4 linked regions of the Struthio camelus genome follow. The protein of the gene in region 1 purifies or fractionates together with the protein of each later gene. This does not show direct contact. Links are inferred from orthologs where the notes say so. Each region holds a gene or a part of one and is shown in the gene's direction. Other genes may lie near its edges. The genes, in order: RNF7, ASB7, TULP4 and RAB40B.

The links.
Region 2: the proteins of RNF7 (region 1) and ASB7 purify together in Homo sapiens (co-immunoprecipitation; 4 studies listed by BioGRID and IntAct, with this or other methods). This does not show direct contact. The link is inferred for Struthio camelus from reciprocal best matches to the Homo sapiens genes RNF7 and ASB7.
Region 3: the proteins of RNF7 (region 1) and TULP4 purify together in Homo sapiens (co-immunoprecipitation; 3 studies listed by BioGRID and IntAct, with this or other methods). This does not show direct contact. The link is inferred for Struthio camelus from reciprocal best matches to the Homo sapiens genes RNF7 and TULP4.
Region 4: the proteins of RNF7 (region 1) and RAB40B purify together in Homo sapiens (affinity purification with mass spectrometry; 3 studies listed by BioGRID and IntAct, with this or other methods). This does not show direct contact. The link is inferred for Struthio camelus from reciprocal best matches to the Homo sapiens genes RNF7 and RAB40B.

What each region holds. Positions count from the first base shown.
Region 1 is NC_090950.1:15,210,133-15,217,229, forward strand, and holds the start of RNF7 (RING-box protein 2), read left to right. Parts: upstream 1-4,092; 5' UTR 4,093-4,147; coding exon 4,148-4,325; intron 4,326-7,097. UniProt on the Homo sapiens protein: Catalytic component of multiple cullin-5-RING E3 ubiquitin-protein ligase complexes (ECS complexes), which mediate the ubiquitination and subsequent proteasomal degradation of target proteins.
Region 2 is NC_090953.1:4,621,736-4,629,438, reverse strand, and holds the start of ASB7 (ankyrin repeat and SOCS box protein 7), read left to right. Parts: upstream 1-4,691; 5' UTR 4,692-4,772; intron 4,773-5,620; 5' UTR 5,621-5,715; intron 5,716-7,703. Other genes in the region: LINS1 (protein Lines homolog 1), read right to left, coding at 500-589, 678-1,085. UniProt on the Homo sapiens protein: Probable substrate-recognition component of a SCF-like ECS (Elongin-Cullin-SOCS-box protein) E3 ubiquitin-protein ligase complex which mediates the ubiquitination and subsequent proteasomal degradation of target proteins.
Region 3 is NC_090944.1:77,701,009-77,708,815, reverse strand, and holds the start of TULP4 (tubby-related protein 4), read left to right. Parts: upstream 1-4,790; 5' UTR 4,791-4,888; intron 4,889-4,910; exon of another isoform or gene 4,911-4,984; intron 4,985-7,807. UniProt on the Homo sapiens protein: May be a substrate-recognition component of a SCF-like ECS (Elongin-Cullin-SOCS-box protein) E3 ubiquitin ligase complex which mediates the ubiquitination and subsequent proteasomal degradation of target proteins.
Region 4 is NC_090960.1:10,853,288-10,861,257, forward strand, and holds the start of RAB40B (ras-related protein Rab-40B), read left to right. Parts: upstream 1-4,961; 5' UTR 4,962-5,054; coding exon 5,055-5,196; intron 5,197-7,970. UniProt on the Homo sapiens protein: RAB40B small GTPase acts as substrate-recognition components of the ECS(RAB40B) E3 ubiquitin ligase complex which mediates the ubiquitination of target proteins.

The sequences.
Region 1 (7,097 bases):
CTGCTAATGTAAATTTTGGCCCATACACAGTGAGCGTATGAGTAGATGAGGTGAGAGGAGGCTAGTCAGGACATAAAAAGGAGGTAACACTTAATTTTTTTTATTTGGAAAAAATAGTTTTAAAACTCATCTCCTTCACGCTAATTATTGAAAGCAATGTCTCCTGCTGTGTCCCTCTCTCTGTCTCTCTTTCCCCTGCCCTATATGAAAGGACATCTCAGGCTTTCTGAACCAATTCAGAACTGTATCTCTGTTGAACTGGAGGCTCAGGAAAGGAATTGGTAGTGCCTCATGGCCCCTTATATGAAGGGGAGAGGTGCAAAGACCAGAGGAAGGGATCGTAATTGTTTTTGCTGACCACCTTTGGTATTTTACTGACTTCAGACTGTTTTTCTATCCCTGGCGTGTCAGCAACAGAGCAGTTCCCGTTGTTCCCACTTGTTGCTGTCTCTCCCTTCAGCTGCAGTGCACCCTGCACAGTTGTGCAGGAAAAGCTGCTTATAGCACTGTGAAATTAAGAAATCCAGGAACAGTTACAGGTTAAAACTTGCATTGCCCAATTATTAAAAAGTGTATTTTATATTTGCATTTGCAAAATGCATGACAAATGTGCTACATCTTGATGGCATCCAAATATAATTACATTTTGTCTTATAGGTTGTTCTAATGAGTTTTTACAACTGAAGAGGAGAATTGCATCTAGTTTCCCTCTCACCTCTGATAAGAACAATTAAAGACAAATGATATTTTTTGGAAAAGAATTATGTATCTGGGAATTCACCTAAGCAATCCAGCTAATCATGTAAGTTTAAAAAAAATAGGGAGAGAGGCAGCTGATACTCTACAAAGCAGAAATAATGTGCTTCAATTTCAGAAAATTTTTACTTTCCAAACATATGTTCAAAATTCAAGGATCCAGTTAAAATTATTAAACACCCATGTGAAAAGGTATAAGAAGACATATCATCAGAGACAGGAAAATTACATATACATTTTCTTTTCAAATTTCAAAATTTGTTTTTAAACTTTTCTAGATCATGCCTAGTCCCACTAATTCAGATTCACAAGTGCCATAACAGTTTAACAGGGGAGGGAGGAATATGATCAGGTACAAAGAATTGAATCTAAGAAGTACAAGTGTGTGACTACAGTAGTTGTTACAACCTTGTCGTTGATCTTTTCTAATATTCTCTTTCCTGATGCAGTAAAAATATGATAGCTGCTAAGAGCCTGTTGAGAGACCTTGTGGTAAGATAGGTCAGCAGGGAGAGAGAGAGAGAAGCAGTTTTGCATCTAAATATTTTCACTGTAGGTTAATTGTATTTCTCTCTGATTGGGAAATAGAGATTGGGGTTTTTTTGGTGCGTAATCTATAGTCCAGTTTATCCTCAGACTCTGCTATACAGCATAATGATGCTGCAGCTTGAGTCTCTCACAGCTACATATGGTGGGTCCTCCCAAGTTTACAGATCTCTCAACTCTGGCTGAGCCAGAGGCTCAGTGCCATCAAGCCAGTAATGTTCTTTCCCTGGCTGCCGACTATGAATTTGGGAATTGGACAGTGTGGATTGAGAGCAGTGTGAACCAGCTAAGATAGGAGCAAAGTATCTTTTTTTTTTTCACCTGATGTTCAGTGGTGAAAATTTTTTATTTCTATTCACACTTACTTCACGGCACTTGGAAAGCTGGATAGGTGTACCACTTACTCCAGAAATAATTCATTCTGAGCATGGCCCACAGAATGACTTGGAAATGATTTCCTTCTCAGCAACTTGAACTCCCTTGTTTTATGCTATACTGAGAAAGCAAAAAGAAGTCTTTGTTTAGCGTGCCGGAGTAGTGTGAGTTTTAACATTGCATAACTGAAGGTAAGAACAGTTCTGATTTAGAGCCTCAATTATGAGTTTTACAAATAAAAGTTTTCAAGTTCCTGAAGGTGAAGAAAATAAGGGATTGATTATGGATCATAAAATTCAGGTAATCTAGCCAAAACTGCTTTTTCTTAAATTAACTTTTATAAAGTGCATATTTAATTAAAACGATATACAGCATTATAGTCATATTTTGTCAGAGTGAGAATCCATGTTTAAAAGATCATAAAAGCTACGTGCTTAGAATTTAGGATGAGAATATAGGTTTTTTTTTTTTTTAATATTATTGTTACTATTACTTACTGTATTGTTCCAGTGTCAGAAGAGGGGCTGAAACTTATCAGATTTCCTCTGGTAGTAATTTTTTCAATTGGTAGTGTAGGAAAATGGTAGAAATGTATTATGCTCCAGTTACCCTTTCCTCATGGGGGTTATTCCCAGCTGTTATGGCCCTAAACTGTTCTTAAAATTTAGTAAAACCGAGCAGTCCATCTTAGTAGAACTGTTTAAGTCTCAACCACTTCCTGAACCAGCTATGGAAACTGTTTCTGGCAAACTGTTCCTTACTGCACCTTTTTCCAAAGAAACACAACCTGTGCTCTCCTAGAAAAGCAGCTACCTCTCTCCCTTCTCTCTACTCAAGCGGATATGAGAAGTCTTAGCTCCAGCTCGGGTTTTCTTGCTGGTTTGTCAGCCCACCCCTGGTCAGAACTAGGGACAGAGAAGACTTTTTCCTTTAGTTTTTTTGTTCTGTGGACAAGCTGAGGTGAATCAGTATTGTCCATCCACATCTGCAATGTCTCACTGTTGATCTTTCACATTCAAGCTGTGCTATGGGATATGGGAGTGTTTTATGGTATACCTCCACAGAAACGTCCTAAACGACATATAAAAGTAAATGCTACATACATATGTAAAGCTGCTGAGAAAATTATTTGGTTTTTTGGTTTTGTTTTTTTTTTTTAAATGGGGATTTTCTGTTTGCTTCATGCATTTAACGTTTGGAAAACTGTTTAATAATTCTGGGCCCCACACTAACAGCCTCGCAAACTTTAAAACAGAAATTGAAACTGGTCTTTCTTCAAATAATTACTTTCTCCTTATGCAATTTATAATAATCAGATATTCAAACCCAACTTGCCCTACTTATACAAGTGGAATCACTTGGAGTGATGGGAGTACTCTAAGGTTTCCTCTGCTTCGTTGTATTCGGTGTCCCAGCTGGCATGAGAGGGCTGGGAGGGCTCCAACAAATAGGTTCTTTGTAATTAAGCAGGATCACTGATGTAGTGAAATGCAGCTCCCTGGGGTTTCTGTCTCCTGTGATGTTAGTGAACCATCGGGGACGTGATAGCCTGATAATATTGAGGACAGTAGACCAGAAATTTTTAACTAGATAAATGCACTAAACTAATCCAATCCCTGTTGAATCAGGATTTTGATGATGTTACTGCTCCAGAGAACAGGAGAGAATGGAAGTAGGTGGAATTTCATTTTCAGTCCTGTTATGCTACCTTCGTACCTGTTGGACGGCGGAGGCTTGTACCGTTTCTTTGGGTATAAGAGAGAGACACCCTTTGTGTCTCCTTTGTGCTGCCAAAGATTTTGTCCTTAAAATCTTTGTTTTCATCTGACGCTTAAAATAATTTAAAGCATAATTTCCTTTAAATGCATACTATTAATATAACACATTATTTTAGTGTAACTCCATGACATTGTATCTTATTGGAACAGATTGTAAGTGTTGTGGTTCTTAAACGCAGCCTAATCAAGTACTCTGAAGTTAGCACGACGCCCCAGCTGGCAATACGCTCGGAGAACTTTGTGCAGCCGACGCACTGGAAGCTCTTGAGAAGAGGAAAAGAAAGGTACGCTGTTTCTAACTTTTGCTTGTAAAATTTAAATTACTCCCGTTAATTTGTTTGTCCTCATGTTAACTATAGCAGTCTGTCTTTTCAACTTGTGCATGAATTTCGACATTAACAAATTTACATTAAACTTCAAAGTAGGCTTAAGGAGATGGGGCGCTATTTTGGAAGAATGAGTTTTATATACTTTTTTTTTTTTTTGGATTAAGGTGAGGAAAGGAATCCAAATTCCTCTTTTCTTTTAAAATAATTATGGGTATTGCTTGCCTTGGTCTTATCCAAGGGAGCTGGGGCCAGACCCCGGCCCGGCCCCGACACCCCTCACGGAGCCGCCCGGCCCGGCCCTTCCTCCGGCCGCGGGGTGGCGCTGCGGCCCCGCTCCGCCGCCCGCCGCCCCGCCCCTCCGCCATGGCCGATGTGGAGGACGGGGACGAGCCCGGGGCCTCCCACTCACACCCGGGCTCCTCGGGCTCCAAGGCGGGCGCCGCCGACAAGATGTTCTCGCTGAAGAAGTGGAACGCGGTGGCCATGTGGAGCTGGGACGTGGAGTGCGACACCTGCGCCATTTGCCGCGTGCAGGTCATGGGTAAGCGCCGCCCGGCAGGCCCGGCCCGGCCCGCCATGGCCGCCGCCCCCGCCGCGGGGGAGGTGTCGCCGGCGGCGGCTCCCGCCCCGCCCGGCCGCCGCGCCGCTTCCCCTCGCGGCGGGGGCGGGCGGGCAGACGCGGGGGGCGGCCTCCCGCCCCCCCCGCCCCCCCCCGGCCGCTTCTCGTCCGTTGGCGAGCGCGGCCCGGCCGGGTTACGGCCGAGCGGGCAGACGCGCGGCGCCCGTCTTTCTGAAGAAGCGGTAGCGGAGGGACGGCGGCGCGCTCGTAGCCGCGCGCACCGTCGCTGAGAAGCGCAGCGAAAAACAACGGCGTCGCTTACCTGGCGTTGAGGAGACTCTCTCCGGGTGCAGCCCTCCTCACTGGCTGGCCTTCGTGCTTTCTGACCGCTTTGGGTCTTTGGAAATTCCGTAAATTCCTCTTCCGCTGTGTCTCTGTATCCGCCCTGGCCTCTGTGCTGAGTCATCCCCGACATAACTGCCCGGGAGCCCCTGGGTGGGTCGGCAGCGCGGGGCTGCGCTCGGCGCGACGGGTCGCCTGAGGTCCTGCCGCGCCAGCCCGCTCTGGCCTTAACCTTTGGTCCCGCTTGGGGACGCGGCAGGTGCCGGGCAGCCACTTCTCAGATCCGTGTTTTTACGGAGAAGGGTCGTTGGAACAGAAAAAGCACGCAGGTGTCCTGCAGGAAAGACACAGCCCAGACTGAGGCGGTGGGAGACCGGCCTTTTCTCTGAGCGTATCTTGAAGTTGTTCCAGGCCTGCTCTCAGGTGGTGAATGGAGACCAGCCCAGAACTATGAAATTGGCTTTATCTGCTAAAAGTAAACCGTAATTTTAGGAGTGAATTTGCCTGTTCCAGCTGTTACTGCTACTCTATGATTTATGAGAAAACAGAACTGCTGGAGAGGCAACTTCACTTGATTACTCAGGACTGTTACAAAAACAATCATTCCACTTAAAGGGAAGTGTAAAAAGTCCTCAAAAAGTCATCCAGATGTTTTACGAAAACTTTTAAAAGTGGCTATCGGCTTTCTCTGATGATTTCAGATGAAAAATACTCCCTTGGTCTAATTATGAAAAATTATAAATGAACAATTTTTAAATTTAGCACAAACCAGATTTTTTGAATGTGAAACTTTATTATTACCACCTTTAGCAATTTAATGTTGACCCCTGCCAGACCTGGTCTGGCTGCTGTAGATCCAGCGCATCTGCAGTAGCCTTAGGTTGGAGGCTGAGCAAGACTTGAGCTGGCTCTGCATATCTGAGGTTGGTTTGCCTTTTTTTTTTGCAGGGGAAGGAAATGTGAGCTGGCTTAATTTTCTTTACTGGTTTAACTCCTTGAACCAACTTGGGCTTCAAGGATCACAGAAGCACGAGGGGAAAGAAGCAGCAATGCAGAGGCGTTGTCTGGAAAGGGCAGGATTGCAGCAGTACTGACTTAATTTATTTAACCTTTCACAGACTAACACCCTTAGGATTGTGATGCAGGAGTTGGGGGGCAGCTTATGTTGGTACAGGTGTAGTGATTTGTGTCCTCAGCTGTCCGTGCTGCTTCTTTGTCTGAAACAAACCCAGAGCTGGAATAGGTAAGCTTCTTTTACAGCAGCTACTAGCCCACCGCAGCTTACTACCCAGCATACTGATGCGACTCCAGATCAGTTTATTTTGATGTGCCCTGCTGTAAACTGAAGCAGTTTGGCTGAATCTTCACTGCAGTTTGACCCCTAGATGCTATGGAATTATCATAATAGAAAACAAGAAACTTTACTTACTGCCTTTCTTTCATCTTCGTGAGGAAAGGACAAATACTTAAAAGTTTGGATGCTCTTCCTTCTGTATTAGCTGAAAAAGGAGGACTATCTGGCAGGTCAATCTGAAATAGAAGCACCTTGCAGTATCTGGTAGAGAAAGAAGAAATACTCGGACTGAAAGTCCTGTGTTATGTCAGTTCTGTATGTTGTAGAACAATGTTCCAGCTGTTGACCTGCAGGCCCAGTCCAGCCTCTGGGATGCTTTTGTCTAAACGATTACCTCTCCTTTGCAGGAGATGAAGATGTGTTTGCACTGTGTATGCTGCCATAATAGTTGAACGCTTTGCTGTGCACGATCTGTGCATGCGTGTCTGTGGCAGTCCAAGTTGGAGCAAAGGAGAAATGAAGGCATGCTTCCTCTGTATTTGTGTGGCCCGGTACAAAGCCTGGAAGTTGTCCCTAGTACATCTGTAATCCTGAATCTGTCATCTAGACCTGTAGGCACAGAGACTGGAGCGTACAAAGAAGATAAATATTTTTAGTTAGATGTTTTCCCCATTTATCTCCTCATTTATGCTATCAGACTGATCAGTGTTTAAAAATAGTTTGTGTGCATATGTCAGTATTGCAAAAATTACAAGCAGGTATCCTTTAAGGAAAACAAACATTTAAAAAAATGGTAGTAGTAGGTGGGGGTGAGGTGGGAGATGTAGAGGCTAAAGACCATCAAATTTTTGAATGACTTCCTTAAAAGGAGATGTTGGCATCTGAAAAACAAAGCCCTGTAATTAGGGTTTGGCTATGCGCTTGCTCTGGTCTTGGTATGTGCGAGTGCCTTGGCACAAATCTGGCTGTCATATCTGCAAAATGGAGAATACTTTTTTCAGCAGAAGTTGTGAAAATACTGAAGCAATGGAAAATAAACAAAAGTTGTTGAACAGTTTGTAGTCCTTCTGATCTCTTGCAGATACGTATTTCCTTGTGTCGTGTGCACTCTTTTAAAT
Region 2 (7,703 bases), on another chromosome or scaffold:
TCTCCTAACACACTTGAAAAAAAATCTCTTGGAATATTTATTACATATCCTTCCTATCAATCGTTCCTGACCCCAAACCCCTTAAGATGCTCTTTAAGGGAGAACTATCATATAGCATTATTTTGTATAGCTTTCACCTTGTTCCTGATGCTGGGTCTAAAGACAGCTCAACAGAACTGCATGACATTTTGAGGGAACTAACATATATTTCATGCTGAACACCAACAGACTGTAGATCTGCCTTTCAGAAAGTTAGAGCATAATAGACACGCAGGCAACAGATGCAGCAAAGGAGCAGTCCTAATGTCTCTCCATGGGTCTAATCGCAGAATGCACATCTTAAGAAGCACTTATAGATTTTACTGTAGTCATGTAGTCCCTGCTTTTGTGCCATATAAGCACTACAAAAAGGCGGCTCTAGAGTCAAATAGAAGAACCTGAAGGCATACATTCACTAACTCATCGTTTCTAAGTTGTGGAAGGTTATACTCACACTCACCTCTTCCTTCAGCTGGAAATACACAAGAGACGCTAAACTTCTTGACGCCATGTGAGATAACAGCTGATCAGAACTACTGAGGAGACAAATCTGCAGACATGTGAAAAGAATAAAGTATCTAAGTTATATTCCCTTTTTCCCTTTCATAAAAATCTTCCAAAAGTTTGTAAAAGCTTACCAGTTTTGAGTCGATTTTTGTCTCCTTCAGAAGGAGGACAAAGATATCACAGTACTTCCGTCTTGCATCGAATTCAATTTCCTGGGACTGTACTTTAGCCACCATCATCTTGATCAAGGTTAACTGAAGCAGCATCACTTCTCGTGGACACAACGAGGAGTTCATATTTGCAAAGTTATTAGATACATCATCTGTTACAAGGACAACGGTGTCTGAAATATCAGGGTCTTGATGGCTCCTAATACCACTATTAGCAGACGGCAGATGCATCCGATTACACGATTCATCTCTTTCTGGTGACTGTTCAGTGCACAGATTGAGGAAAGAGGTATAATGACGGCTCTCCTTTGCTAGTGGAATGCCTACCAGTACATCCTTATACATCTGCTGTAGCAGAGACATCTCCATAATGAGAACAATAAATATTCTGGAGAACGTCTTATGTCTCCACTGATTATTCCTGGTCACTGCAAATTTGTTTTGAAGTTATTTTTATCCAGTAAGAGAAACAGAAGCACTATTAGGCATTTCTCTTCTAAGATACCTAGAAATAAATATTCCATTGTTACTGAATTTAATAGATAAGCAGGAAGATGCAGAAGAACTACATACATTTTTAGAGTTAATACTACCCTTACTAAACATCACGTGAAAATATACGCTATGTTTTTAAATAGCAAGAGTGATAAACTAATAGTTGCATAATTTTTTTCCCAATGGGACATTTAAATGGCGTAACTTTACAAGAATGACCATGTAGTGAAGAAGTTTATAGTCCCAAGTACGATACTACTGAAACTAAGACTGATTTGCTGGGCCTAATGCAAACAAGAATGACTACTATTAGGGACTTCATCTAAGACCACAAGAAAATTGTGATCAAGCCTTCCTCTATCTTTACATAGCTACAGCTTCCGAAACCTCATTTCTTTTTTGGGATTCCTCCAAAAACAAATTTTTATTTGAACAGGCAATGTTTATTGCTCCACTAAGATTGTGCAGAGCAACACTTCTCAAGAAACAACAAATGGAGACTAAAGAACAAATCTTCTATTCTGCTGCACGTAGACTCAAGGTGAGTAACATGAATATGCTGGAGGGAAGAACTGGGCTCTTAATTTAGTAAGGAGGACGGAACGAAACACTTAACAGAACTCCTTTACATCTACGCCTGCAGAACTCTCGTTCTGAGCCCCTAAATCTTGTAACCCAGAAGAGATGCACAAGACCAACAATGCTACAGGCCTGTAGGCTCAAGGGACCAGTGACTGAGACATTTAAAATTAGAAATTACTTAAAAAAACAAAGTGTTGAAAGCCAGTAAAAATATTTAACCACATTCAGAAAAGTTAAAGAACAGAAAAATCTTTGATCACAAAGTCAATGGAACATTTTGGAATAGCATGAGAAGACTCAGGACAGCTTAAAATGAAAACCTTTCAAGAAAAATCTTGCTCTCTCTGCTTTCAAGTGTGAGTAGCTAAGCACCTACATATTTCCAGTCATTATAAAAGCGGCTAGATAGAAAACAAAAAATAGATAAAAACCAGAAGACAACAACAATATACTTAATACAGCTGAAAAAGAAACCATGTTAATCTTAAAGAGTAATGCTAGTCTGTAATATCAGTCTTTTCAGGACAGTTTTAACACATTATCTACCCAGAACCCTTTTATTAAAAGAAAAGCATTATCTTTATCTACTGCCAAGTTGGGAGTGGGTGTTGTTTTGTATATAGAAATTTATTAATTAAATTTACTAATTAAAGACATTTACTTGAAAGAGGGGGGGAATGTCAAACGACTAAATTTGTTTCAGACATAGTAAGAGAGAGCACAGTGAAAAGCACAAAGCTAAAGAGTAAAAAAAGCAATCATACCCAGAAACAAGAAATGACAAACTCCAGCCCTTCCTTGTATTATTTATTTGTGTTATTCATGACAGCATCTAAAAAGCAATGAAGATAAGGCTCCACAGTGCCAGACACTTGCACAAACAACAGAGAGCAGTTCTAAAGAGCTAAGATACAGACAGATCAGGCAGGAAGGAAAACCATACAGTAAAAAGAGAATAAATATTTTGCTATACATTATTTTCATGTCTATTTTAGTTAGGCTTTAAAATCAAAAACAAAGTCACGTGGAGCTGCAGATAGCAAGGAGAGAAGAAATTTGATGGAAAAGGAAATAATGGAATAGAAATGAAAGCTCAGATGGCAGCTGAAGCCTGGTTTAAGGATCAACATAAACCAAATAAGTAAAGTTTAAGTGGTTGCAAATGCCCCCAGAATGTCCTAAAATAGAATTATAAAATCAGGGTATTTCTCCAGGGTGAGAGGCTTAATTTAGCCTGAATTCACATAAATCATTGGTTTGACTGGAAAAAAATAAAACTTTTGAAATATGATAGCTGCATCTACTTTCTTATTTTTTACTAACATGAATGGCTTACAATAACACACTATGATTACTCAAAGGTATCAGTGAAGAACAGGCATTATGAAAGGAAAATCTTGTCAAATCCCTACACTGCATAAGTCTTTCCCTGCTGCATATACCATTAAATGTTATCACAGAAATAGCAACCGGGAGAAAAACTATCGTCATAAAATAAAACCAGAGAATGCCGTCATGGTGCATGACTTAACAGGTAAGAGCTTGGAGGCGCTGGATCACCGTATGACACGATGGGTAAAAAACAGAGAAAACATACTTTGATCTACTTGTACCTACAGTGACTTTGTAGGTTCATCGCTCATTAAAGAATATGCTTCTGCTCAGTGCTGAAATACTATAATCGCCTCTGAAGTATCATTTCCTTCCAGAGGCTGCAAACAACCTCTACCGTGAGCTGTCCATTTCCAGACAGTTAACTCTGACACCTAAGCACGCTAGGTGCTTAACCTGCTCTTGAGCAGGCACCTTTACCCACTGCAGCACACAGGACCAGAGAGGCCTGATCAGACGTCACCGGACCCTTACTGTACCTCTAGCACTGCTGCCTCCGGCGGGTTAGGAGTAGCAACACTTGGCTAAAAGCCACTCTGCAGTCTGACAGGGAAGAGAGGTGAGAGCAGGCTACTCACTGCCCCAAAGGAGCCGGCACAAGGAGCAAGGCCGGGCGGGTAACCCAGTGCCTCGGGGGCCGGCAGGCAGGGCCTGGCCCGGCGCTCTCACCACCAGCGACAGGAGCCCCGGCCCGCAGGCCTGCTCCCTCAGCCAGGCGGCCCCTCGGCCCAGGCGGCCCTGGAGCTCCCCGCACCGTTCTTCCCCTCAGCGGCTCCCCCGCAGCCTCAACCGGCCTGGCCCGGCCCGGCGACCCTTCAGCTCGCCCAGGCCGGCTCCGAGCCCCCTCAGCTGAGGGGGGCTGGACCTCGCGCCTCCTCAGCCTCGCGCCCCTCGGCTCGGCCCGGCCCGGCCCGGCCCGCCTCGGCCTCGCGCCCCCTCGGCCCTCCGCAGTCCAGGCCCCACCCCAAACTTCCCCCCCCCACAAGGGCGCGCCCCCGCCCTCCCCCACCCAGGCTCCGCCCCTCGCTCCCCCTCCCCTCACCTGGCAGCGCGCGCGGCCCCGCTTAGTCACCCCGAGCCGCCGCGCATACGGATCCCCCCCACTACTTTCTCCCTGCTGCTAGGCAACCGCTCCGAGTCACCCGCCCCCTGGAGACAGGGCGCGGTAAGGCCCAATTCTCCTCCGTCTAAACGCCGGCGCTGCCATAGCCTTCTCCTTTTCCACCCCCGCCCCGGCTTTTCTCTGTCGCAAAACCCTACCCCCCCTCCCCAGCGCCTTTACGGCAAGGGGGAGGAGCGGTGGGCGGAGCCGCCGTCAGCCCGGCGCCCAACCCGAGGCGGCGGCGGCGCACGGCAGGGGGCGGGCCCAGCTCGGCGGCAGCGGATTGGCTGAGGCGGAGGTCAGTCCCTGCCCGCTGACCCCGCCGCGAGCCGCGGGGGGCGGCTCGGTGCAAAGTGTCCCCACACGGCTCGGCCCCCTCCGCGCCCGGCTCCGCCGCTCCCGCCGCCGCCGCCAGAGCGGGGGGCGGCTGCGCAGGCAGCGGGCGCGCGCCGCCCCCCCCCCCCCCCCCGCGCGGCGGCAGACAGGTAACGGCCGCGGGGGGGAGGAGGGGGGGGGGAAAAGCTGCGTCCGCTTTGAGCCTTCCCCCCCCCCCACACCCCGGCGGGGCGGGGAAGGGAGGGGGGGACGCGACCCCCTGGCCCGCGGCGGGGCCTCGCTGCGCCGCTCCCGGGAAGCCCCTCGTCGGCGGGGGGGGGGGGGCGGCTCCGCTCCTCGCCCCCGCCGCCCCGTCAAGGAGGGGGCGCTCAGCCCTCTCCCCCCGCGGTGGGGGGGGCAGAGGGCTGCTCGCCCCCCCCCACCCCGCCCGGCCCTGGGCTTGCCCCCGCCGTGCTCCCGGGGGGGGGGGCCCGCCCCCTACTGCACTCTGCCGCCGGGCCCTCCGGACCCGGCGCCCCCAGCTTCCCTCCCCCCCGCCCCGGGCTCGCCCCCCCCCCCCCCCGCCCCGCTGCCAGGCCCCGGAGCCCCGCGCTGCGGCTCGCCCAGCTCTCTCCGTGCGCTGGACGGGTCCTGAGGCAGTTACTAACTGCAAGGGAGCGACTGGATTTCCCAGCAGCTCTGCTTTGCGGGTTACTTCCTGTCCCATTCTCTAACGCTTACCTTTTACTCCAATTCCCTTGAGACTTGGGCTTGACAGGGCTAGCAGTCCTGCTGTTGTGGGCCTTCCAACTCTTGGGTGTCCTGAGAGAGCGCTCCTCTTTTCAAATTGAGGTCCCGGTTTGGGTAAATAACCCTTTCCTTCCTAAATTTTGAAGAATTTTCCTGTTCCAACCCGTTATTGCTTTGGTATTAACTATTTTTACTCTCCATTTCTCTGTCTTATGTCATTACATGGTTTAGTGCTCCTTTTTTTTTCTTTTTCTTTTTTTTTCTTTAGATTTAAGCTGCCTTAAAGAAGAATTAAAAATTGCATCTCTGAAGAACAAAATAAGACAGAAGAGAGAAAGCAGCACTCAAAAAAATAAAAAAAAGGTGATAATTCATGTAGACTCTCCAAAATCATCCTAGACATGTGGTTTGGTTGGCTTTGGGGCCTCTTGTTGTGAATGTTTTTGATAGATTTGAATAGGTAGCATTAGATTTCTTTCCTCTCTTAAAACTACTTGCTTTTGTGCTTTAAAAGTTCAAAAGCTTTAAAGGCCAGCTGAAGTTCTGTTCCTCTCTCTTGTTCTGTTCATTTTCTAAATTTAATCTACAGACGTTATTTTCTTTATGATTTGCTGCATAATGTTTTTTTGTGGTTCCTCATTTCAGGAATGTCATTTAAAATTACTTTACTCTGGGTAGTTAAAAGGGTCTTTTCTTATAGCCTTTTCACTGGTTTATGGTATGACACATGACTTCTAGTAACTGCTCTGAGCCTAAAATCATTATTGGGGTAGGCCACGGTAATTGCATTATGTTGGTTCAGGTATATCTAACTTTTGCATGTATCAGGGGCTCTTTGCGTTGTGTTGTAACTCAGCTGCAAAAATTGACACTCATTTAGTTGGGTGGGTGTTGGCTTACAAGTGCCAGCTTTTTGTGTTGACATCACAGAAGAAGATAATACTGTTAGATACTTTAAAATATGAAACATGATATCAAAAATGGAATGCTACTGCTAAAATGAGAAGGGTTGAGTTTCAGGGGAAGAAGAGTTCATAGGGCAAATTGCATGTTCTATGTGGTAAGAAGATTCACTCAAGATGTCTATCAGCCTATTTCTGCGTCCTGCTCTTAGTACGCTCCGAGTAATGGAGTTTCTGCTCATTCTTTTCATGTAAAGTCTGTACTGAACCCATTTAAATCCATTTCAAATGTAGATGAGCCTGTGTTACTTTGGCAAATATATCCTCAGTATACATCCTATTTGTCTTTGTCATGTTTTCAGAGATGTCATTGACTGTAGCATAATGTTTTTCATTGTCTACGGTAAATTATTTTTTTAGCATTAGTTGCAGGGGAAAGAGCAGTACCTGTTGTCAACAACCTTGGTCAAGGATGGATCATTTCTCTAATATAGGTATCTTCAGGGTATGGCGAAGAGTAGCTGTTAAACTTCAAAGATTAAGTAGGACATTTCCTGGTAACGCAAGCCACAAGCTTGGAGAGGCATTTTAAAGATACAGTGATGAAATATTCCGGTTATTTTGATAGCTTATTATAAAAACACATGTGTAAGACTGGAGCGTGTGAACGTGTCCAGTGTAATTGCAGGAGAGATTTTTGGTAACGATATAATAGGCAAGATGAATGTACGTTAGTGCAAACTTTTCAATGCAGTTACGTCACCCCTATTTCATGTGAAGCTGGTTTATTATAGCTCTCCTTACAACCCATCCTGTGCATCTAACCATAGAAGCTTGCATTACTGTAGCTACTCAAACAGGACACCTCTGGTGCTGATAAATCCTTGGATGTTTAGAATTTATTCACGGAATGAAATGCAACTGTTCACTTGATTTTGTGAAGCTCCTTAATGTGAAATGCCAATGCAGTGAAGTTTGATCCAGAAGCAGAAACTGAAACTGAGTTTACAGGAACTGGAGAACTAGCTTCTGGCAGACATGTATGCATGGTTAAAACGGGGAACAAAGGTAAATGATGTGCTGAAGGCCTGCTCTTCCTCTCTGGAGGAAATGCAGCACGTTGCAAGTATAGCTATCCCCTTAGATAAAGTTGCACATCCAGACTTTGCTTTTATCTTTAGGCTATATGCTCATTTTGTTGTTTTCTTTTTTTTTTCTTACAGTGAATTCTGAACCCTTAAAGAAAATGTACTGAGAGTCTGTTTTCCGTTGTTCCAGAATTTGCTTACAGAATGATACTATCAGAGAGCAAAACTGTTGCTTTATCCGCTGAAGTCATCTAATGAATTTTGTCCTCTCAGACTCTTACACAGTATTTAAAAAAAAATATACAGAGCAAATTTAAGTCTTCTGGAGACTGTTGAATGAAATGAGCTTTATAAATGGTGC
Region 3 (7,807 bases), on another chromosome or scaffold:
TTTTTTCTTTCTTTTTTTTTCTTACTTTGAGGTATTCTAGGTATTTCTCAGTTTCCCTGTCTTTGCTGAAAAACCCTCTGTAGGACTGGAAAACTAGAGGGGATTAATTTCATACCTTAACTTGAGGTGAAGGCTTCTTGGGTGTTAGTAGAGCAGATCAGTGAAACTGGGAATCCTTTAACAATTTTTACTTGATTATTTTTGTCATCCCATTTAACTAACTTTAACAGCTTGTAATGGAAATAAACTGAATGAAAAGGCTAAATTTCAGTGCCTTGAAGAACAGTACCACTGAGGGACTCTGAGTTCAAAAGGAATCTCTATCTAGGCAAACATACCGGAATTCCCTCCTGGACCCTGTGGCTAGTAGGGGTGGGACATGAGAGGAAACTCATCTAGTACTGCCTGCCAGAGGCAGCTGAGACTGGATAATTTTGCCCTCTCAGAAACCTGTAATTATTAATTGACTTTCTACAGAGTTTGGTCTATGTTTCTAAGTAACTCATATCAAAATCTTGCCCTGAGCTCAGTCAACCTTCCATACGCTTTTTACTAAGGGTTGGGAAGCCCAGCTCACAAGCTGTAAAACTGCAATACCAGTGCAGTCCTCCCAAAGGTCATTGGCCAACGACAACAAAAAATGCAGGTCTTAAATATTGCATCAAAGCAATGAAAAGTACAAATAGGATTTCCCTTTGTAACTCTGTTTGAAACTGAAACAGTGTCAAGTCATTTCTTGTGTTGCCCGTTTACAGAAAGTCACGGCGAACTTTTAAGGCGAAGATGTCAGTCCTGCAAATACTTAGGCATATTTAGTTTGTTCAACTCTAAGTTATTGATGAGTTTTTATAACAACAAGGCTTCAGTGTGGACTTAACTATATGCCAGTGTTGAACTTATTTCCCTTACCTGCTTTTTGAGTTGCACCTGCAAGAGGTAAGAATATTTTTTACTGTAGAAACAGGTCACTTTTTTCCCTTGGATAACTCAAGACCTTTTTTTTGTTTTGCTTTTTCCACCCTTAGTTATCTGGACTTAATAGATCTCCACCTTTGAAAGAAACTATCCTTGGAATGAGTTTGAACATGAAGAGCTACATCCCCAAAAGAGACATTAAAAAAAAAATTAAACTAAGGAATTGAAAAGGAACTTAATGGCTACCTCTGATTTTCAGGGTATGCTTCTCCTTTCTGATGGAGCATCTGGAATGCTTTTAGGAAGTGATTGTCTGATTAAAAAAAAGAAACCCTTGACTTTACATATAAAGACTATATAGAGAGCTATCAGCACACCAATTTCAGAAGGATGATGCCTGCAGAAATCACTGTTTTGTTCTTTTTCTAGTGCTTTGTAGTTGCTTGTATTTGGAAGGCAAGTAGGTCCTGTGTTTTAGTTTTTGCCTCAAGACACCCAAGTTCTATAAATGAGCATAAACGAGTATAAAGAGAGTGAGCTTGTGAATGGGGAAGAAATGATGAGAAGTTGAATGAGATAGAAAAGAAAATCCATGTCTGAAATGAAAATATTTAATGAGAAAGGGAGAGTGAATATCTTATCTGGAGAGAAAAAAAAATTAGATGTTCTGGTTGGGCAGACTAGGGAAAGGGAGTTAAAAACATCGTTTCCTTGTGTGTGTGTGTGTGTGTGTGTATTTTTTTTAAATTTCCACATTCAAAAATAGTTCATGTAATTGTTCATAGGCAAAGTGAGATTTGCCATCTGCCTTCCTGAATCGCCATAATTAGTTACTGCAAAGGTGTCTGCCTTTAAAGAGTATGAGGTATTATAAGAAAATCTTCCTGGAAAAGAGGCCAGCCTGGGATTCCTTAGAAGGAACGGCTGTGAATATGGGATTAATGGTTTATAGAAATGGACAGATTTGGGAGGAGCTACTTACTGTAACAGCTGGATGAGACATAAAACCATAGCCCTGGCTATAATTTAACTGAACAGAGCTGAGTTCCTTTTGAAAAGGCACATATCTTATTGCCTTTGACCTTAAATTCAGAATATTCCAATAGTAAAAATGAATTTACAAACTTTTCTGTGCACTTTATTTACTGATCTTTTATTATCCCATCAATTTAGATGGACCATAACTAAGCCTTTCTTTAGATCAACAATACTAAGAAGTGAATAAAAACACAACTTTACAAAAATGTGGAGTTTTTATTATGCATCATAATAAAACTAAGAATACTGTATGATATGAAGATTTTGATGGCACAAATTTAGAGTAAGCTTTTCATTTGCTTGTACTACTTCAGGTAAGTTGAATGCTGCAGTTGCACCATGCAAATGTTTATGCTGTTAGCCAATAATACAACAAATTGCCTCTTTAGGTCAAGATGATTACATGAGAGGAAGAGGATGATTAGAACGTAGTGAAGGAAAGGGCTCTCTCCCCTTCAAGGTTTCTCTGGATTTTGCATATTTTTTTACTTTAAAATATTTTGGAGTGTGAATTAAGAGGATATTAAAATGCTGGACAGCCTGACTATCCTAGGAATACGTGCCTTTAAGTGTAGCCACAGAATAAGTACAAAATAGAAGTTGCACAAGCCTGATACAGTGCAGTAGAGGTATTTTCCCCAATTATGATATGCCTTTGCATTTATAGAGCAGCAATGTTCTGTGGGATGGACTTAAAAGAGCATATGATACTGCTATAAATAATAGAGGCTGTGATCTGAGCATGCTGTTACTCCCTTTCTGTATATGGGTGAAGAACTAGTGCTGTAGTCTCATCCTGATGTGAAATCAGGACTTATTGATTCACACATGCAGAGGCAAAAGATAGGGGTTGTTCCCATGTTGCAAGGTTTAAATATAGTCTGAAGTATCCCATTCTAGTTCCAGAGACTCTTGTGTGTCTGTGTGAATTTATATGATGAATTTGTTTTTTGGAAAAGAATGTTTTATGCTAATAGAATGAGCGCCAGGGCTGATAAGATAGTTCTTCCTGTGTATTTTCCTTCAGCATGTAGTAGATTGCAGGATGGGTAGGACTGTTGCAAGGTGACTCTCAAAAAGTCATGATCACAGTTTGTATAGGCTGGTGAACAATTATCAGGAGTAGGTTTTTCTTGTGAACCCAGCTACTAAAGACTTCTGTTACAGGTGAGGAAAGGGACTAATAGGCAGCACAATGAGACTACTGTGCTAAGTGTGGAGAGGACAGGATTACGAATTGGGTTAGAACTATAGTTGTTATTGCTTTGGAAAAATTTCTGTTGTGCTTTTTGCTCTACTATCAAATGTTAATCCTTATGATAGCCTATAAATTAGGAATTGAGCTAAGACACAGATGGCTTAAGTTAAATACACAATATGATAAAAGAATTCAGTGACACAGTGGTTTTAACTGCTTTGGCCCCTCAATTTTCCACTGCAGAAGGGATCCCAGTATAACAAATTTAAGTCTGCCAATAAGGCAGCTTTTTTTGTTGTTGTTGTTAATATTTGCGGATATCCTGGAGGTAGTTCAGGAACTGTGTTCTCCATGGACCACAGGTTGAAAGTGACTGTTGTGACATGCTCAGAAATGGGGCCCTAACTCCTTGATAACCATTTTATTGCACTTTAGCTACAGGACTATTATCGCATGTTCAGAGATGACCAAGGCTTTACCCTGAAAATTTTAAATAAAAGAAGCAAGTTTTTTTCTTAATGAGAAGTAGATAAACCAGCATAAAAAATCCATGCTTAGTTCTAACACATAGCATCCTAGGCTTCAGTCTTTCAGGCTTTCACAGATGTAGCTGGTCCTATGGCACAACTTGGCCTCCTCTTGCTAAAGTTGCAAGATGAAATCCTTACAAAGCTTTGGGGAATAGATGTGTGGGAATATAGTGAAAAATATTTACCTTTTTACCTTTTCAGTTTTTGAAATGGTCAATAAGTTGGCATTGCCAAAAATAGTAGCGGACTGGGCCTTTTAATTTCGTGCTGCTGTGCTGTTGTTTAGATGGCCTTTTTAGAGCTGATAATTATGATGTGTTTCTGCTTTCCTTAAATTACTAAGTTGAGCACTTTTTGTGTTTTGGCCTCTTATTGCTCCTTTCTGAAGAAATGCAATATGAACTGAACGTGCCACCAGAGAAGAGTTGAAGTGTTTGCAATGCAAATCTCTCCTTACTGAGCCCCCTGGCTTTGTAGCGTTGATGTGGCTGCGCTGTATGTTGAACTGCCAAACGTCAAGGATAACTGCGCTCTCTCTCACCAGACATCCCCTCGGTCTCTTATGGCAGGCTTTTATTTTCTGTGAGCAGAGGTTACCTTCAGCATGGGTTTGCTCGTCCCGCTTGCTAGCCAGCGTGGTTACTTCTCGCTCGCTGTGGCTTTTGGTTTATGTCAACGTCTAGGGCTGTGGTGCTGCCAGTGCCTTTGTTTTTTCCCCAAGAGCACTGTGAGACATGTTATTTGACTTAACGTCCCAGCTCCGGGCACCAACTTTTTTCCTTCCCTCTTTCTTAGCTCAGCAGGTAGCAGAGAAAAGCAAATTTTAAGTGCTTTGGTATCAACTAAGGCCCAATACGATCTATAACCTTGGCTTTCCAAACCGCTCTCTCGTGGTTTCTCAGGGAAAAAAGTAGCGGGCTTGGGGGGCGACGCGGACGCGAGGGGGCGTCAGATGTGTCTCCAGGCTGCGCTGACGACGCCAGGCCGCCGCCGCGCTGCCCGGGCCCTACCAGCGGGCTGCGGCCCGCAGCCAGGGGCGGCGGCGGCGGCGGCGGCGCAGGGTGCGCGCACGGGCGGGAGGCGGCGGGGGCGGGGCCTGGCCCAGGCCCGGGGAAGTGTGGTGGTCACGTGGCGGGGTCACGTGGAAGAGGAGTCGGGCCCAGCAGCGGCAGCAGCAGCAGCAGCGGCCGCCGGCGCTCCGGTAGCGGTGAGAGACGGAGCCGGGCGGGCGGGCGGGCGGGCGGGGGAGGGAGAGGCGCGCGGAGCCGGGCGGGCGTAGGGGAGGCCGCCGCGTCCCGCCGAGGTGAGTGCGGGGAGAGCCGGCGGCGGCGTGCGGTGCAGGGCAACAGCGGTGGGGCGGGTGGGGGGTGCCCCGTTCCCCTTGTGCCCGGAGCAGGGTGTGGCGGCCGGGCCGCAGGTGAGGGGGCCGCGGCCGTGGGCCGGCTGGGCGCTCTGCGGGGCCGCGGCGGCTCCGGGGCTGTTTTTCTTTTGTTCCGGTGGGGCACCTGTGCGTGTGAGAGAGAGAGAGAAAGAGCGCCAGCCGCTGGGAAAGAAGTCCATTTTGTGCTGTGGTTACAGAACACCTTCTGAACGTATATACATCCTTTATTTAGCCGTTGCTCCGGCGTGCCTCATTCACAGCGACCTGGGCAGAGAGCCACAGCCCCCCCTCCCCCTTTTTTCTTTTCCCCTCCCTCCCCCAGCCAGTCTCAAAAACTAAAGGACAGGCGATTGGCTAGGAAACCTGATTTTTCCTTTCTTCCTGTAGTTCGGGATGCACCGAAATCTGGGTGCTGGGATGGGGAGATTCCTCTTCCTCCGGCTGCTGCCTCCCCCGGCGCGGAGCGGGGCGGGCGGCGGCCGTTGGGGTCCGGGGCGGGGCGGTGGCGGCGGCGGCCGTTGGGGTCCGGGGCGGGGCGGGCGGCGGCCGTTGGGGTCTGGTGCGGGTCGGCGGGTCCGGGAGCGCCAGGCTGCCTCCTGCATCACCTGTGACCCTCCGCGCACTGTCTGTGTCGCTGCTAATCTTATTTTTCCCTTTTTGCCTCCTCCCTCCTCTTTCCTCCTCCGGAGGGGGAGGGAAGACGGCTTGGAAATTTACCCGGTGGTATTGTAAAATTTGCCTAGCAAATGTAACTCCTTTACGTTCTTTTGTGTTGTGCCTTTACATCATGCGTTTCCATAAACGTCCACATGTGTACGTGTTTGAGCGCCCTGGCTTGCTAGAGGCTGGCTAAAAAGTGCAGAAATCATTTACCAGTTCAGTACTTAATTTTGAATTACACATTGACACATACAGTGGAAACACCTTTATGGGGCCAGATTGAAGGTCCGTCTAGCGCCATATCCTGTTTCTGAAAGTGCCAAATAGCAGATGCCTAGGAAACAGTATAACAACCGGGTGATCATGTAGTGAAGCTTTGGGAAACCAGCCAGGTCTCCAGCAGTTTGAGGTCAAGGGACTTCCTATGTTAGATGTGATGTTTAAGTATTTAAGAGCTTTTTTTTTCTTCCAGTACTTAGATTTACGTGCTTTCAAAAAACAAATAGACAGAAGTCTCTGAATAGAAAAAAATCTTTCTTTGCGTCTTTAAAAATATAATTGCAGTCAGGCAATTCCTGTAGGCACTTCCATTTTGCCAGGGTGGAATTTGCCTGTCCAAGGATTACTGCTTCATCAGCAACATACTGTGTTTTTAAATAGGTTAGGTAAGAGGCATGTACATCTGAGTTTTTGGCCTATATGGGAGCTGTAAAGAATAAAATTGTTTCCTAATGGCTTTACAGATAGGTTGTAAAATTTGAGACTTAGAACTTAAGATATCTGTTTTCAAGAAATAGGAGCTGCTGACATGAAGTTAACTAAATTGCTCTTATAAGGAAAGTTTGCCAGAGTTTGCCACGTTTTTCATAGGCAATATGAATGTCAAGCAAAGCAGAACTGCTGTTAAAAAAGTCTGAGTATTTCCTCCCTGGATGGAGCCTTAATTAGGAGGTCGTTGTCAGTTTTTGGACTGAAAGGAGGTAGTAGGTTGATATGTGTATATAGATAGATAGATATTTAAAAGATTAAAAACAGCTTAGAAAACTGACAGCTATAGTTGTTGTGAATGAGTTTCAGGGAAAGACTTTTTTTTTTTTTTAATATAGTACTTCTTGTCACTTCTAGCAACAGATTGACTACATGGGAATGAATTCCACAATGGATGTTTATTGTAAGACCCTTACAAAATATGCAACTATTCTTTAAAAAAAAAAATCTGCTCAGTTTGTGAACTATACTGAGCACATTATGGACAATCTAAAGTATTCATCTTTTTCAGTAAGTTAATGCATAGATTTTTAAATGGTTTCCTCGTAAACTTACACCAAGGAAATTGTTGCAATGTAATTCCCATTAGCCCATTAAATCATATTTTAATCACAAAATAATATTTGATTCAGCTGAACTTTCAAGTAAAATTGGTTTTGTTTATAACTATCCTCTAAAAAAGTTATAGTTCTTCTAAGATGTGTCAGTGCACGTGTTTATATAATTATTCGGTCATTGTCTGCCTGTGATCAATATAAGAAACTCTGTATAAAAGGGCCTAACAATAAGATCAGATGTTTGACTTCCATCCTTATGGTAAAAACACAAAGTCATATTTCTGTTTAGTACAGGTTTGTGTTACAAAATTTTAGTTTTGTTTAATGATGCATGAGGTCATTTTATATTGTACCTTCCATAGTCAGATTGGAAGCTAAGCTTGCGCTTTGTTAGGTAGAACAAAGTCTCTGCTTAATGGCAGAAGGGACCCTGCTGAAGACTTAACCCAATTCATTGATGAGTTAGAGAATGATTCAGGACAGGCCTCTGTTCAGGTGATTGAAGTAACAATGGTACATGCCCTCCAGTTCAGTTACCAAGGAGCGTGGCTGCTAAGAGAGTTTGTACAGATGTCTGTTGATATTTATTAGGGGGGGGAAAAAAAAAAAAAAAGGAGGGGGATTTTGAATGAGTTATTTGTATGGCCAGACATCCTCGTATCTCCTTGGTTTCATTCACTTTCACTCTTCCACGTTGCAGAGCTGATCATAGCTAGTGATTTGGAATCTTGCATTTCATTTTTTGACTGGAACCGTTTCT
Region 4 (7,970 bases), on another chromosome or scaffold:
ACATTGCCTTCCCAAAGATGCTACAGGGCATCTGTTTGCAGGAGGCACGGGCTCCCAAATCCTATGCATATTGGAATTCGGTGAGAACCAGGATTTGGGGGCTGCTGCCTCACAGATTTTCTTTTCAGTGTGCTGTGAGTCCCTGCTCCAAGCCCTTAGTACGCCTGCTGCTTGCCATCTTTGGCCTCTGTGCCATAAATTGCTGACCCCTGTTTGAAATAAACTATTGAGTCATGCCCCAAATGTACTTCCAGAAAGTACTTCCAGAAAAAAGCGTAGCCATATACTGAAGTTGTTAATGCAGTGCAGGTCTTGCCTGCTGAGATGAAGGCAGTGTATACCACAAAAGGCCGTGTGGCAGAGTGGGTTGACTTTGCAATAATCTTTTCTTCCCCACCTCTGTTCTTTTGCTCCATGTGTCATTTGTTTCCGTTTGAGTATTTTTAAAAGTGTTTGCAATATGTTTCTGGGACCATCCCCTTCCCTCTGTGCTGCTGGGCTTCACCAAACCCGTTGGCTTGCCTGCAGCATCCACAGTGGTTAACTTTCTGTTTAAAATAGTGTTTCTTTCTGTGGAGGAGAAGACAACTGGCATACTGGGCTACAAATTATTTGGTGAGTCATCCGTTGATACACACCTCCTGAATAAAAAAGCACTGCAGCTGCTAATTTCTGTTTACTGCTTGACAGTATGTACAAGAAAAGAAAAGGTAATTGGTATGTGCAGCCTTTTATGGGTTGGTATATATTTATAAATGGAAAATATGCATTAGGGCTTTTCAGGCTGCAAGCCTCTATTTGTGTGAACATATGACAAAAGGGCTATGGACTCTTCTCTGCCCCCCTGCCCCCCCCCCCCAAAAAAAAAAAAAAAAAATGGAAAGGCTGAGAGGGTGGTTCGGGAAGGATGTAGGAACTTCCATTACAGAAAGAGGTGATTTATAATTATGACAGTGATGGAGATTTGTTGTTACTGCTTGTTTTTCTCTTAAACATAAATCACCCTAAGGGATGGAAATGTGTTTTCAAAAATTCTTCAGATCAGCTGTATGAGCAGATAAATGTAAATGGAATTAAAAGCATCATCATCAAAATAACAAACTGAGATAGGCCTTAAGAGCAGAGTTTAGCCGTTTGTCTGATAATGCAACGACATTGGGAGCAGTGTCATTGATGTCTGTTTATTTGCAGAGTTGATGCTTTCATGGATTAATTTTTCACTGTAACCATAGTGATTCCAGGGGCATAATTTGGGGCAAAATCTGAATAAAAGTGAGACTGAAGCAGAGGACCTGATCTACCTAATTTGTTGCAGAGAGAAAAATCAGAGAAATTTTTTGTCCTCAGAGTTTAATGTTTGGAGTTTGTCTGTCTCTCTTTTAGATGCAAAGTATGCCGTATTACCACTGGGTTTCTTTGCTTTCCAAGTTTCTGCCTTTCAGCATGAAGTTCTGGGAGGATGTTCATTTTTGGGTCATTTTAATAGTGAGAAGAAAATATGCTCTTTGCAAGGATTTTTTTTTTTAAAGTGGGTTTTTTTCCAATAAATGTAGCTGCCACTTTGGATGCAAGAGTTTGAGAGTCTTTTTTTTTTTTCATCCTGATCAAGAAGTTGTTGTTATTGTTTATGTATTTGTTTATTTTACAGCTCTGACTTATGTTTAGCCTAGTTTTGTTTGGCATGGTAAAAGAGTAACATGCATATCATTATTTCTTAATCTTTAAAAAACGAGTACTTTCAGCCTGCCTCTCACAGGGATATCTTAAAGCTTGAAAGTGGGTTAGTAAATGCATTCTTTGTATTATTCAGACAGGTGATGGGTTAAAGATTTGTGGGTGTATTCTAGCTGACTAGTTCCTGTATAAAGTGTAACCGTGAACTTCCCTCAAAATAAACCTGGGCTTGGCACAGATTTGTGTTCTAAACATGTTTACATGTAATTGTCAGATAAGTGGAAATATTCGGGAAAGTGGAAACATGCCAGAGTTCCAGCACTTGTGACATCAAAACAGATATCTGAAAAAGCATTACTTCTACTTTTTTTTTTTTAAACAATTGACAAGCAAGTAACTCTTCAGATTAACAAAAACCAAATGCTTCTAATTGTCGAGTTTGTTATGAAAAGGTTTGGTTCTTTTTCCACTCTTCCCTGGTGAACTGCTGGAAAAATCAAATAAATAGAATTTCAGTAAAGCAAGATAGAAGGATTAGTTTGCACTTTAATGTTTTTCTTGTGACATCTCAAAGGACTCCACTGAAACTTGTGCTTTAAATCCCATGACGCTCTTTTGCTTATAGCAAATAGCTTTGATATGACTGGAAAGCTGAGGTATAAAGAATTTGAGGAAGTTGTCCAAATTCATAGAGGAGGGCTGCGTTAGACTTGGGGTTAGAGCGCTAGTTTCCTGATGCCCAGGGCTGTCCTCCAACTGTCAAGAGCGTTGCTTCCACTGCAAAAGTACGAATGACTACTGCAACTGCATAGTCCCTCTCAAAGTAAAAACTGAAAAATCAGCTCTGACAGATAAAGCATCTGGAAGAAAGGCACACTTCTCTCTCTCTCTGTATGTAACAGTTCAAGCAGTATTCTGTTGCATGCTAACTTCTACAGTAAAAGAAGCCCTTAAACTGTAGTTTATTGTTGCAAATTTATCTTCCCCACCTCCAAGAGGACTTTGGTTCCAATAAATGATGACTGGATTATAAAGAGGTGTAACTGTTGGATGCATGAGTATGCTAGAAAGAGACTTGCCTGTCTGAAGCTGGGAATGTGGTATTTTGGTGTCCATAGGGGAACAGAACAGGATATCTTGTACGTACTCTTCAGGTCGCACTGTGTTAAAAATACTAAGGAATGCTATAGCAGTATTCTTGAGCTTGCTGCTTTATTTGCAGTCCTGAAATAGGCGTGTTAAGAGTTTTGGGGGGGTTTTTTTGTTGTTTTTTAAGAATCAGTAGACCAGTATTGCATCATTCCCATGCAAATAGATTTTATTAGTCAAGGACTTGTTTTTCTTTTATTTTGAGTAGAAATGTAAGGCATAGTTGTAGATCCTTTTTCAATTTAGGGCTTACGTCTGGCTGCAGATAATCCGGAGTAAGCCCTGTGTATATGATTCTTCTGACTTAGATGTGCTTTGGCAAAGTGGGGTGGATTTTTTTTTTTCTTCAGTAAAACAAGGGCATTAAGACCCTACATGGAGCTGTAACTTTTACGTATACTGGAACTTGGTGCATACAGCTCTATTTTGGTTGGGGAGGGGAGGGGTTCTGTCTTTTTAAAAACTTACTTTGCACCAATTTGACACTATTTGGAAATCACTGAGGGTTAAAAAGATTTTTTCCAAGAAAATTTTTAAATTATATTTGCTGACAGATATGCTACAAGCAATTGACAAGAAGGTCGTAAAGGGCTTTGCACAGAGCTTAGGCAGTAAAGATGTGTGTTATGATAAAGTTTAAAAAATGAGATTTTTCTGTAAGCTTTTGTTCTCTTGCTTGTAGGTTTCTGGTGGTTTTTTTTTTTCCTACTGGTCTGACACCTGGGTTTGGATATGATGCACTGATGCAGCTCAGTCTAGAAACCTGCTGAATTTATTTTGCTGTTAATGGCATGTGAAGGGTGAGCACTTACTCCAAAGATGACCCCTCTCCCTCAGCTTCCTATGTAGTGCTTTTAATACATGCTTTGCAGTATTATCAAGGAAGGCAATAGGCTTTTGTTCTCATGTGCATATATCACCAGGCTGGATTGCAGGATCAGGAGGAAAGCTCAGGCTGGCTGACATCCCATTCCAGTCTCATTCTCATGGATTTCTGTGTGATTCTACAGTAATATTTGAATGAGGATCGGGAGAGGGCAAGACCAGCCAACACTGATGTGGATCTGAGGGCAAAAGTATGTGCCTCTTCAGGCTATAAATGTCGTAAAAGCAAGACTGAAGTCCACAGAATGAATGACTTTAAAAGCCTGTAGCTATGGCTTGGGTCCCCTTGCTGCAGGGCGACGTGTGGTACCTTGCTTGGGGCGGGTGCTGGTGCAAAGCCAGGAACGCTCGTCCTTGTCCATAAACTGCCACTACTTCACAAAGCCTTCCCACCACCATTGCCCCACCGCTGTACTTGAGTCCTAGGGGCGTTCATTTGCATGCATACTTGGTAGTTACCGCAAACGCGTGGGAGAGCGGCCGGCTTTACCGCGGGCGGTACCCCCGCAGTTACTGTCGGGCCCCGCTGGAGGGGCTGGGCTCGAACTCGCGGCTCCGTCACGGGCTCCCGCGCTGCTGCCTTGTAAACACGCCGCGACTCGGCAGCGGGGCAAACAGCTCCGTTCCAGCGGGGAGGCGAGACCGAGTGTGATTGATGAGCGAGCGAACCAACGGCGACCTTAGAGCCACCTAGCAACTGAGCCGCTGTGTCCCGCTGGAAACACGAGGAGGGGGGCGGTCGAGGTCTGCCTCCCTCCAATGGGAGCCGAGGAGGGCGGGGCTAGTGCCTTTTGGTACACCAATGAGCGAAAGCGGTGGGAGCGCAGCCCTCCCTTGAAGGGGAGGGGGCGGGGATAATGTCTCGGAGCACCAATGAATGCTGGAGAGGGCGGGAGCGCCAGCCAATCGGCCAATAGGAGGGCGAGGGGGCGGGGCTCGGAGCCTGTCACCGCGCCGTGGCCGGAGGCAGGCTCCGCGCCGCTCGGTCGGCTGAGGGGCAGCGCGCGCGGCGGCGGCGGCGACGGCGACGTGACGCGCTGAGTGAGCCCGGGGGGAGCGGAGCGGGGCGGCGGCGGCCGCACGGAGCGACGCCGAGCGCCTGCTGCTCGCCCCGGGGCGGGGAGGTCGGGCCCTCCGTCGGGGGAGCCGCTCGCTGCGTGGCGACATGACGCGCGCTGCCGCCGCTCGCCGCTGACACGGCGGGCTCCCGCCGCCCGCGCCCCGGCAGCGCCCGCGCCGCGGCCGCCGGGCATGCCGCTGCCCGCCGCCCGCCGCCGCGGTGAGCTCGGCCCGCCGGGCCCCGGCATGGGCGGCGGGAGCTGAGCCGAGCCCAGCCCGCGGGGAGGATGAGCCGCGCGGGAAGCCCGGTGAAAGCCTACGATTTCCTGCTGAAATTCCTGCTGGTGGGGGACAGCGACGTGGGCAAGGGCGAGATCCTGGCCAGCCTGCAGGACGGCGCCGCCGAGTCGCCCTACGGCTACCACATGGGTAAGCCGAGACCCCCCCCCCCCCCCGCGGCCCCTCGGGCTCGGGGCACCGGGGCCCGCAGCCGAGCGACGCGCGCGGAAACGGCCGCTGCTGCCGTTCCCCCCTCGCGCGCGGAGCTCCCGGGGGCCGGCGGAGCGAAGGGGCCGCGGGCAGCCAAACGCCGCGCGATGTTTCGCTGTCCGGTTTCACTGGAAGAGTAGAAAAGAAGAATTTTTTTTTTCCTTCCCTTTTTTCCTTTTTTTAACTCTCGTGTTTTTCATATCAGAAGAGGAGCCCTTTAAGATCAAGGTTCGCGTTTGCAGTTCGTCCTTTCACTTGGGCGTTTTAAAGCTCGAGCCTGGAGAGCCGCGTCCATGGCAGATACGTTCTGCCTGCGAGATACAGAGCGGTGGACGTCGCAGGCTGACTTGAAACTACGCTGGTGGCTTGGGGAAAAGGAGACTTCTCTTCTTCTGCCCCTTCCTCATCCTTTTTACTCCCCCATCTCCTTTTGCTAGAGCACAGCCCTAGTTTCACGTTTTTCCTCTTTGTGCGCATTTGTAATGCAGCATATTAAAAGGCAAGTTATCCTGTAAAATTACCCATTGCTTTAAATTACTGCCAGTAAAAGTGTCCAATTAATTCACTGAAAGGCTTTACGGTGGCTTAGGTTCTGTTATTATGTTGAGCTCTTGGTACGTATTCAAGGCAAAAAAGTGAGGCGGAGGGGGCAAGGAGCATTATTTGTATGGTTGCTTATGAGTCAGACGGTATCGTGAAGGTATTGATGTGCTTTTTAGGATGTTTGCTCAATAGCTTTGCTAAACTAGTCCTTGGGAGGTAGCAGTCTCTTTACTCTTCCTGCTGGGCCATCGTGAAGTGGTAGGAGGAAAGGGAAGGAAGGCTTGGGGAGAGCGTGCCCAGTCTGGCCCTGTTCTGCATGCACAACGTAGTTTATAAATTCTTATGCCAAAAGAACACTTTAGTCTCCGATGTGTCTTGATGTAACTGAGGGGGAATGTTTGAGCACCTCCCAAGCTCATCAGTCTTGCTTCAGACATTTGCATGTAAACCTTGTGATGCTTGTGTATTGGTCTTAAACTTTATTTAAATTGTGTGCCTAACACTATGTTTCTAAATAGATTTCTCGACAGCGAAGAAATAGAAATATTCTTTCGGAACTTACTTTGCAAGTATGTAATATACAGCTTGGAGATTCTTCATCTCTCTTAGTAACTTCTAAAATATATAGGATAGTAGTAAAAAACACAGAGTAGTAAGTAAACTGAGCAATGCAAAGGCCATTGTTTCAGAGTGTGAAGGGAGATGAGAAGCATGTTCGAAGAGAGGGATATGAAGAAATGAGTTAGAAGAGAAGGGGAGCTAAAACAGATGGTGTAGTAAAACAGGAAAGGAATATAATCTGACTTCACGTTTTGTGCAACTGGTGTTATTATTAAGAACTTCTGTACGTTTTGAGCTTCAGCTTTTACACGACTGTAACATACTGTCCAGTGTTACTTAGTAATTTCTAATTTTAGTTGTGAAAGCTCATATAAATTATTTTCTCTCTCTTAATTCATCTTTTCTTCATGAAAACTAAACTAAACATCCTGTTGGTGTTATGACTCACTTTGTAATTTAATTTGATTGAACAGCTTGATAGAGTTTGGTGTTGTGGGTGGATCTTTTCTTTTTTTCCCTCTTCAAGTCCTTAGTTAACTGGCTGACTTCTACCACTTTCATAATGCTGACTAGGTCTCTGAATTGGAAAGAGAAAGGATAGTGGTCTGATAGATCCAGTCAAAATGTGCCACGTGTATAGGCTTAGAAGTAACAAGAACTTTGTTATAGAGCTTGATGGATGGGAATGGCTTTGTGAACACAATGAAAAAGGAGATGTGATAGGGTAAGAGACAAGAGCATTTGAGAAGAGAGAGGCAGAGTTCTGAAGAGCCTCGAAAAGGAGAACAAACAAATTGACTTAATGTGGTGAAGCAAGGGAATTCAGACAGTTTTTTGTTTAAATTTGCACGTGCAAGAGAGACAGAATTTGACGCTTATACCAACAGGAAAGAGGCTCTTCTAGCTGTTGACATTGAGTAGATGGCAGGTGGCAATATGAATGGTGAGAAGGTTGGAAAGAATGCGTTGCCAAGGGTGGTCATGATGAAGGAAAGATGAGGCCTTGGAAAAGGACTGTAAATGTTCAGAGAGAAAAGATTATTGTTACCAATTCTGTAGACAGAATGGAAAGACTGCCTTAAAGTTACAGGGATGGGTTTCAGGAAGGGCAACAGCATCATTAGAGTTGAGGAAGAAAAGTTAGAATTCAGCTTTGGTAGCGATAGCGTTCTTTCCTGTGCTAAACAACAGGAGGTAGCAGGAAGATGCTCTGTCAGTGCTCTAAAAAGTAGAGGGACAGAGTATTTGTAGAGGAATTATAGGAAAGGTCGAGGTATTGAACGGTTTTTGACTCCTTGAAAAGGAGAATCTAAATGAACCCCCACAAATATGAAGAGAGGCAGAAGAAAGGCTAAGTGAGGAAAGATTCATCAGCAAATAACTATCAAGGGGTATTTTTATTTCTTTGTTTGCTGTCTTCAGCAGGGTCAAAGATAGTTGAGAAGACAAAGAGGATGAACATAAAGTAAAACCTGAAGCTGACTAGAACAGGTTTTTAAAAGGGGGAACAAAAAGCCATCTGAAGGCTTTGTGTGCAGCAGTATTACTGTCTCATCTGAAATGTTTTGGTTATAAATCACAAATTTATTTTTCACAGGCACTTTTTTAAC